Callithrix jacchus: one gene and its partner. The main gene of each other region encodes a partner of the protein of the gene in region 2 in a complex. Links are inferred from orthologs where the notes say so. Each region holds a gene or a part of one and is shown on either strand. Other genes may lie near its edges.

Region 1 (4,066 bases), on a different chromosome or scaffold from region 2:
GCCTAGGGGAGGGAGGATGAGATAGGCATTTTTGTCCACCTTGGGGATGTGTACTGAGGGGCTGGCATTGTAACCAGGGTGTCAAGCCCCTCCTCTGGCCGACCCCTTCCCACTGCAGGCATGGCCTCCAGCACTACTTCTCCAGCCGGGGCATTGCCATTGCTGTGCAGTACTTCTGGGACCGTGGCCACCGTGACATAACCGTCTTCGTGCCTCAGTGGCGCTTCAGTAAGGATGCCAAAGTTAGAGGTGAGTTGGGCCTGGTCTTCTGTGTCCTGGGGTAGGCTCTATTTCTACCTGGAGGAGAACCCTATTTTGTTCTTTTTTAATAGAGAGTCACTTCCTGCAAAAGCTGCATTCCCTCAGCCTGCTCTCCCTCACACCCTCACGAGTCATGGATGGCAAGAGGATCTCCTCCTATGATGACAGGTACTTGCTCCTCTCCTGGCCCCAGGCTTGATATTCAAGGAGCCTAGTTGAAGATTGAGGGAGAGGGAAAAGCTCCTGGTGGTTTATGCTGTTTCCAAGCTTTGGTAGTGAGTAAGGGGCTAGTTATTCCTCTGTGTCCCTTATTATTGGTTAGGTAAACCTGCCCAGCAGCTGTGATGAGAAGAACTGTAGACAACCATGTTTGCTCATTTATCATTCATCAAATAAAGTGATACCTCATTTATATAGTGCTTCACTGTCTAGAAAATACTGGTTTAGTGGAAAGATGGGGAAGCTCGTGACATAAATAGCTGACAGATGTCATCTTTCTGAATTTCTCAACATGCAGAGAAACTTCCTTAACATTCTGGAAAAAACACAGTAAAGGTCAAAATAACAAATAAAATGAAGAAACACAACCCATGAATAATAGGACTGTACAAAACATGGTATAATAGAAATATCACTGGATTTAGAATTGGAAGAGCTAAATTTGAGCCTCAGTAGCACTCCTCATAGACTTTGACTGTGGACCCATGTCTTAGTGAATTATTAACCTCTTTGTCTCAGGGTCCTCCTCCATTCATGTACCCTCCTTGTGAATATATGAAAAAGATAAGGTGTGTGTCTGCCTTGCTCAAGGTGTGCTCAGCAAGACTACAGTGACATTCCCTCCTAACTTAGCACATACGTACTCAAGTGTGGCAGCGGGTGTATCTCCAATCTATAGTCATGGAGACAGAGGGTCAGAGTGGTTACCTCTCTTAGCAAAGGGAAATTAGACCTCAAAACTGTCAGATGATATGAATGAAAATACAAGACACACTTCTACCATAGTCTACATAGGTAATGTGAGAAATGAACAGATTTTAGAAAGCCAATTAACCAAGTTAACATATTTACAAGTTTTTTATTCTCTAGGACATTATTCAGATTTTAAAAATTAGTTTCCAAACCATAGTGATTATATACTTTGTCTTTTCAAACATGTACCTTGTATTCCTTAACAAGTAAATGGAATTCTACAAAATGGTTTACTTTCTCCCAATGTTATTCTACTTATGTATAGATGTCACAGATTACCCAAGATATGGAACCTTCTTTCCACACCTGCATTGAAACAGAATTGAAACTGAAGATTGAGTTCATTTTAATGAATGTTAAAGGCATGTGTCTGCCCAGTTGCGTGGGACCTGGTGGGCAGATAACATAATATAAATTGGGAATTCGCCCATCAACAGTGAATAAGCACAGTGGTGCACATCGTAGGCATAGTGAATAAATGTTGCTGAACAACATACTTTGTAATGAGATCATAGTAAAATATATTTAACCAGAAAATACCGTTTGCATGCCATAAGTGTACCATATACATTTGTAAGTCATTTCCTTAATTTGTTTCCCAGACAGAAGCTCAGAGCCTGATATCTGTCACACCTGATCCTGATTCCCAGTTCCCCCTATACCATGCTGTCTTTCAAATACTAACTGCTCACTTAGTACTAGTGCATAGCCTGCAGGAGGTGGGAACACTGGGAACAAGATCTGATTAGTGACTTTAGAGAGCCGTAAGAAACTATAAATCAAACACTACAGGAACTCAGAGAGAAGGGAGCCCCCTTCTGGCTGGGGTTTTGTGGGAAAGGAGAGATTTGTAAGTTTTTGTATTGATTGAGAAGACTGTGGGATGGGCTGGATCTCTTGGTTTCTAAATCTGTTAAGAACACCACCCACCACCTCATGAGTCCTACCTTGTCTTGTAGAATCAGAATTACTGAAGTGGGGCCCGCATCTATTTTTTTTTTTTTTTGAGACAGAGTCTTGTCACCCAGGCTGAAGTGCAATGGCACGATCTCGGCTCACTGCAGTCTCTGCCTCCTGGGTTCAAGCAATTCTCCTGCCTCAGCCTCCTGAGTAGCTGGGACTACAGGCATGCACCACCACACCTGGCTAATTTTTTTGTATTTTTAGTAGAGACGGCGTTTCACCATGTTGGCCAGGATGGTCTTAATCTCTTGACCTCGTGATCTGCCCTCCTTGGCCTCCCAAAGTGCTAGGATTACAGGCGTGAGCCACCGCGTCCATCCCATCTGTTTTTTAAAGTTCCCCTGGTGATTCTGTTCCTCAGCCAGTTTTTGGAAGTGCCTTTCAGATGGGAATAGTTGGAGAAACCCGGAAGTCAGCATTAGACATATTTGAAGAGCAGAGTGTAACCTGATGATTGATTTTAGCTGGAGTTGAGACTGCAATAGGGAATATTTGGAGATAAGGCTGTAAGAGTGATTTGATCTGGGCTCTAGAAGGCCTTAGCTGCCAGGCCTGGGTGTGTGGACTTTATTTGGTAAATAAAGGGTGAGTGTGGAAGAGTTTTGTGTAGGGGATAAGCATGCTTTCTTGGGGCAGGGCAGGGGAGGCTGGAGGGTGGTGAGTGGTCAGAGGCGGGGAATCCTTGTTAGGAGGTTATGCGTGATCTCAGTTGCAATATCTGAATTACTAGGGTAGTTACGGTGGGCCTGGGAAGGAAGGGAGCAGAGCACAAGGCTTTTGAAAGGTAGGACATGTTGGATTTGCGAGGGATTGGTTGGGTAGGGTGGAAGACAGTGTCAGAGCTAGATCTTACTGTTTACTAGTGAGACGCAAAGTGTTGCGCGAAGGACTGCGGTGAGCAGATTGGATTCATCTGTTTCTTCTGTAGCCCATGAAACCTGTATCTAGTCAGTTGCCTGTAGCTGGGCTAAGGTGGGGTATGGGGCCAGAGCTCCATCACCAGAAGTTGCTCATGGGAATTAGTAACACTTTTGAGGTTGGGGCCTTGGAGTGTCCCAAAGGGTTGCTGTGGTTGTTTTTATTTTTATATATTTGGGGGCATACAAGTACAGTTTTGCTACATGCATAGTGGTGAAGTCTGGGCTTTTAATGTAACTGTTATCCCAAGAGTGAACATTGTACCCAATAGGTAAATTTTCAACCTTCTCTCAGTTGCTGTGGTTTTGGAGACAGGTTCATGGTGAGGCTGGCTGAAGAGAGAGATGGGATAATTGTCTCCAATGATCAGTTCCGGGATCTGGCAGAGGAGTCCGAGAACTGGATGGCAATCATCAGAGAACGGTGAGAATTGGACACAGATGCAGACCTTTTTCTAAAGCTAGTTCTGCTCTGGCCACAGGGTGAAAACTCTGGGAAGGAGGTGAAGTTTTCTTGAAGGATGGAGCCAGCAGTTTCTGGTGATACTGGTTTCAGTTGTCTGGGAGGTGGGCAAGAGCCCCCTCTATGACCATATATTCTCTTTCACCGTCCAGCCTGCTGCCCTTTACCTTTGTGGGAAACCTCTTCATGGTACCCGATGACCCACTGGGGCGAAACGGCCCCACCCTGGATGAATTTCTGAAGAAGCCAGCCAGGTAATCAATCTAGACTCCTTGCAGACAGCTTCACCCTGGCCCTCTCTTGGCAGGCCCGGAGGCTTGGGTGGAAGTCTGACCTCAGTTTTGGCCAGCTTAATTTTGCAGTGGTTTGAGTTACCTTGGCCTTGGCCATGATAAGCTTCCCAGGAATCCTGACGTAGAACCTCCTTGCTGGGAGGGAAACACCTGCTTCCTGTTTCCCTTAATCAGCGTGTTTTATGGAGTTATTTGGA
Region 2 (4,066 bases):
TTCCTAGATAGCTTAGCCTCCCCATGCTGGCTTCAGCTTTTGTGCAGGCTGGTCTGTTTGGACTGCCTGGGCATCACATTGGGAAGAGGTTACTGACTAAATCAGACTGTAGGGGACTTCCCTTAGGGATAGTGCTTTGATAGCTTTAAGCTGGCCTGGGCAGACAGGCCTGCTTCCTCTCTGGTTCAATACAGCAGTGAGTTGCCAGATGTGGGAACCCTCAGCCAGCTCATCCTACCTGCTGTTAGAACCCTGGTAACCATACTTCATGGGCTAGGGGGCCACATATGGGGATGTAACATGCTTTAAACGTTTCCTATTTCCCATTTATATATTTTTAAATTCTTTTAGGTGTCAGAGATCAATCACCTACATCCAGAATATGTCAAAGTAAGTGAGTATTTTAAAGCTTCCATGAAAAATTTCAAGATTGAAAAGATAAAGAAGATCCAGAACCCAGAGCTCCTGGATTGTTTTACACGGTTGGTGGCCACGTTATTATGTTTCTTTACATAAAACTGGAAAGGATTAGTTAATATCCATCCTTTAAGATTTATATTCACTGATTTATTTTAGTAGTCAACAGTTCCTTCAGGCTCTAGTTGTTTTTTTCATTGTATCAACTCTGGCTTCTCTCTTTCAGCCTCACTGATTTCATGTGTCTGTCTTTTAAAAGTTTTCATAAGTTTATTATTGTACAGCTTCTGCCTTATGTTAGTAGCTCCATTGTGAAAGCTGATGGGATGAAATTTTCAGATGATTAGACTTTAGCTGGGATTCATGTTATGAACTGGAGTGAGAAGGGGATGTCTCGGTGTTAACTCTCACATTTCTTAAATTAGGAAGAAGTTGCAGATGAAGGTAGAAGAAAACCTCCTATTTTATGCGACAAAACGTGCCTATGTGGACTCTATCTGTGCGAATAATTTTGACTGGACCCTACATGAAACTCATGCAACCACATATGGAAAAGGTTTGTGCCGGGATAGAAAAGTGTAACTGGTAGAGTTATAACTTGGGCTTTATATGCGCTTCTATGAGGAGGTATATGTAATTATTTTGTATTAACCAGAGTGTCCAGGCTTTAGTGGTCATGGAGAGAAAATAAGCTTGTGGTAATCTCAAATGCTCAAATGAGAGTGGCTCCATTGACTTGGAGCATGAGTGCTGGAACTTAGTCTCACTCCTGCCTTCTGTTTTCATTCTGGGAGTGACCAAAGTCCTTGTACATGCTCGTCAGTTACTCCATCTGTTGGCCTTGTTGTCTCCCATCACTACTCACTTCTGGCCGTGCTCTTCCTGAACACATGTCCATGCCTCTGAAGCTATTTGAAGCTTCAATTGTCACAAAGTGATTTTAATTAAAGACGAGGAGAAGAGGATTCTCCCCATCTCAGGCCACACTGGGTTACCTGGACCTGTAGTGTCATAGGTCTGCCCCACACACAAAATCTTTATAGCTCTTTCTTTTTACTCCTAAACTCTTGCCTGCAATTTTTTTTTTTTTTGAGACAGTGTCTTACTTTGTCACCCAGGTTGGGTGACAATCTCAGCTCACTGCAGCTTCCACCTCCTGGGCTCAAGTGATCCTCCCACCTCAGTCCCCCAAACAGCTGGGACAGCAGGTGTGTGCCACCACATCCAGCTAATTTTTTTTTTTTTTTGTATTTTTGTAAAGACAGGGTTTCACCATGTTGCCAAGGCTGGTCTCATCTCCTGAGCTCAAGCAATCCACCTACCTCACCTCCCAAAGTGCTGGGATTCCAGGCATGAGCCACCACTCCTGCATGCATGCAACTGTTAAAACCAAACAAACCTAAAAATTACTTATCTTTAGGAAATAAGTAATAGGTTATCACAGATTCAAAGTGAGTTCAACTCATACAACTAGGATTAAATTCAATTCTTGCCCCAAAAGTCAAGAAGTCAGTCAGCAAATATTTTTGTGTCTTCTGTACACTAGATGTGGGGTACACAGTGGTGAACAAGTTAGACATTGCCCCATAGAAATTATTTTGCATAATTATCTTACATAATTAATTAAATGATTATGGCCAGGCATGGCAGCTTACACCTATAATTCCAGTACTTTGAGAGGCTGAGGTGGGAGGATCACTTGAGCCCAGGAGTTGGAGACCAGCTTAGGCAACATGGTGAGACCCTGTCTAATTTTTTGTTTTAATGACAAAAAAAATTTTTTTTGTAATTAAATTACCTGGGCATGGTGGCACATGCCTGTAGTCCCAGCTACTCAGGGGGCTCAGGTGGGAGGATTGCTAGAGGAGGATTGCAGAGGTTTGAGGCTGCAGTGATCCCTGATTGTGCCACTGCACTCCAGCCTAAGCAATATAGCAAGACTTTGTTTCAAAAAAAAAAAAAAAAAATTAAATGATTGCAAATGTCAGACTACTATAGAGGAAAAGAACAGGTCCAGGCTGGGCACAGTGGCTCACACCTGTAATCCTGCCCTTTGGGAGGCTGAGGCAGGTAGATCACTTGAGGTCAGGAGGTCAAGACCAGCCTGGCCAACATGGTGAAACCCCATCTGTACTAAAAATATAAAAAATTAGCCAGGCGTGGGGGCTGCTGCCTGTAATCCCAGCTATTCGGGAGTCTGAGGCAGGAGAATCGCTTGAACCCAGGAGCAGAGGTTGCAGTGAGCTGAGCTCGCACCACTGCACTCCAGCTTGGTCAACAGAGAGAGATTCTGTAGCAAAAAAAGAAAAAAGAGTCCAGACCAAAAATTAGGGTGGCTTTGACCCAGGTGGTGGAGGAGAAAGGAGGAAAAGGATATTGCAGTTCAAGGGATCTATTCCCTAAGAGGCATATGTGCAACAAGACAGAGTCCAGGTCTTAGGAGAGTGGGCTACAAGGTTGAGTCTTCAGGTTGGATCATTTAAGAAAATACAGGCTGGGCACGGTGGCTCACGCCTGTAATCCCAGTGCTTTGGGAGGCCAAGGTGGGTGGATTGCTTGAGGCCAGGAGTTCAAGACCATCCTGGCCAACATGGAGAAGCCCTGTCTCTACTAAAATTACAAAAATTAGCCATGTGTGTAGGCACATGCCTATAGTCCCAGCTACTCGGGAGGCTGAGGCGTGAGAATTGCTTGAACCTGAGAGGGGGAGGCTACAGTGAGCTGAGATCCTGTCACTGCGCTCCAGCCTCAGTGATAGAGCAAGACTCTGTCTCAAAAAAGAAAAAAAGAAAGCACTCAGAAATGTAGGAGTAGAAATTAACTTTCTTAACACAATAAAGGGAATTTTAAAAAAGAAAATATAGATTCCAGATTATATAAGTGTGATATAAAAACAACTGATGCTTGGCAACAAAAACAAAAATGGACAAATGAGATTGCGTCAAAGTAAAACGCTTCTCCACAACAAAGGAAACAACGAACAACGTGAGCGGACAAACCCACAGAGTGGAGAAAACATTTGCAAGCCATACATCTGATAAGGAGTTAATATCCAAAATATATAAGGAACTCAAACAATTCAACAGCAAGAGAACAAATAACCTGATTTAAAAATGAGCAAGCTGTTCCCATAAGTGGCCTGAGGTGATCTGTGGAAATGGTTTGCTATTCACTTGACCCAGAAATCTACACGAAATCATGCAAATAAAGAAGTTCAAATCTTCATGCTCACTTTAAGAATACCCATGAAACTGCCCAGGCCATCAAGGGTATGCATATATGAAAAGCCAGCAAGTGTCTGAAAGCTGTCACTGTATAGAAACAATGTGTACCATTCCAACGTTATGAGGATGGAGTTGGTAGGAGTGTCTAGGCCATACAGAAGGGCTGGGCACATGTTTGGTGACAAAGAGTTGAATTTTTGCTGTACACACTTAAAAATGCAGAGTGTAATGCTGAACTTAAGAGTTGAGCTGTAGATTCTCTGGTCATTGAGCATATTCAGGTGAACAAAGCACCCAAGACGTGCCACCAGACTCACAGAGCTCATGGTTGGATTAACTCCTGCGTGAGCTCCCCCTGCCACGCAGAGACGGTCTTCACTGAAAAAGAACACAGTGTCCTAATCCACAAGAGGAGGTACCCAGAA

The links.
Region 1: the proteins of ZC3HAV1 (region 2) and KHNYN are in contact, whole or in part, in a crystal structure (PDB 9BGL), measured with the Homo sapiens proteins. The link is inferred for Callithrix jacchus from reciprocal best matches to the Homo sapiens genes ZC3HAV1 and KHNYN. Residues at the interface, in NP_064504.2 of Homo sapiens: Glu5, Val6, Cys8, Phe9, Lys12, Ile13, Ala16, His17, Glu29, Ile30, Ala31, Leu32, Leu113, Glu115, Phe118, Ser127, Gly128, Leu129, Asn130, Glu133; in NP_001277186.1 of Homo sapiens: His651, Lys652, Asp654, Phe655, Gln658, Arg659, Pro661, Tyr662, Asn677, Phe678.

Annotation. Positions count from the first base shown.
Region 1 is NC_133509.1:58,730,189-58,734,254, forward strand, and holds part of KHNYN (protein KHNYN), read left to right. Parts: intron 1-118; coding exon 119-249; intron 250-332; coding exon 333-429; intron 430-1,498; coding exon of another isoform or gene 1,499-1,559; exon of another isoform or gene 1,560-2,369; intron 2,370-3,408; coding exon 3,409-3,537; intron 3,538-3,728; coding exon 3,729-3,830; intron 3,831-4,066.
Region 2 is NC_133512.1:108,281,646-108,285,711, forward strand, and holds part of ZC3HAV1 (zinc finger CCCH-type antiviral protein 1), read left to right. Parts: intron 1-351; coding exon 352-482; intron 483-842; coding exon 843-973; intron 974-4,066.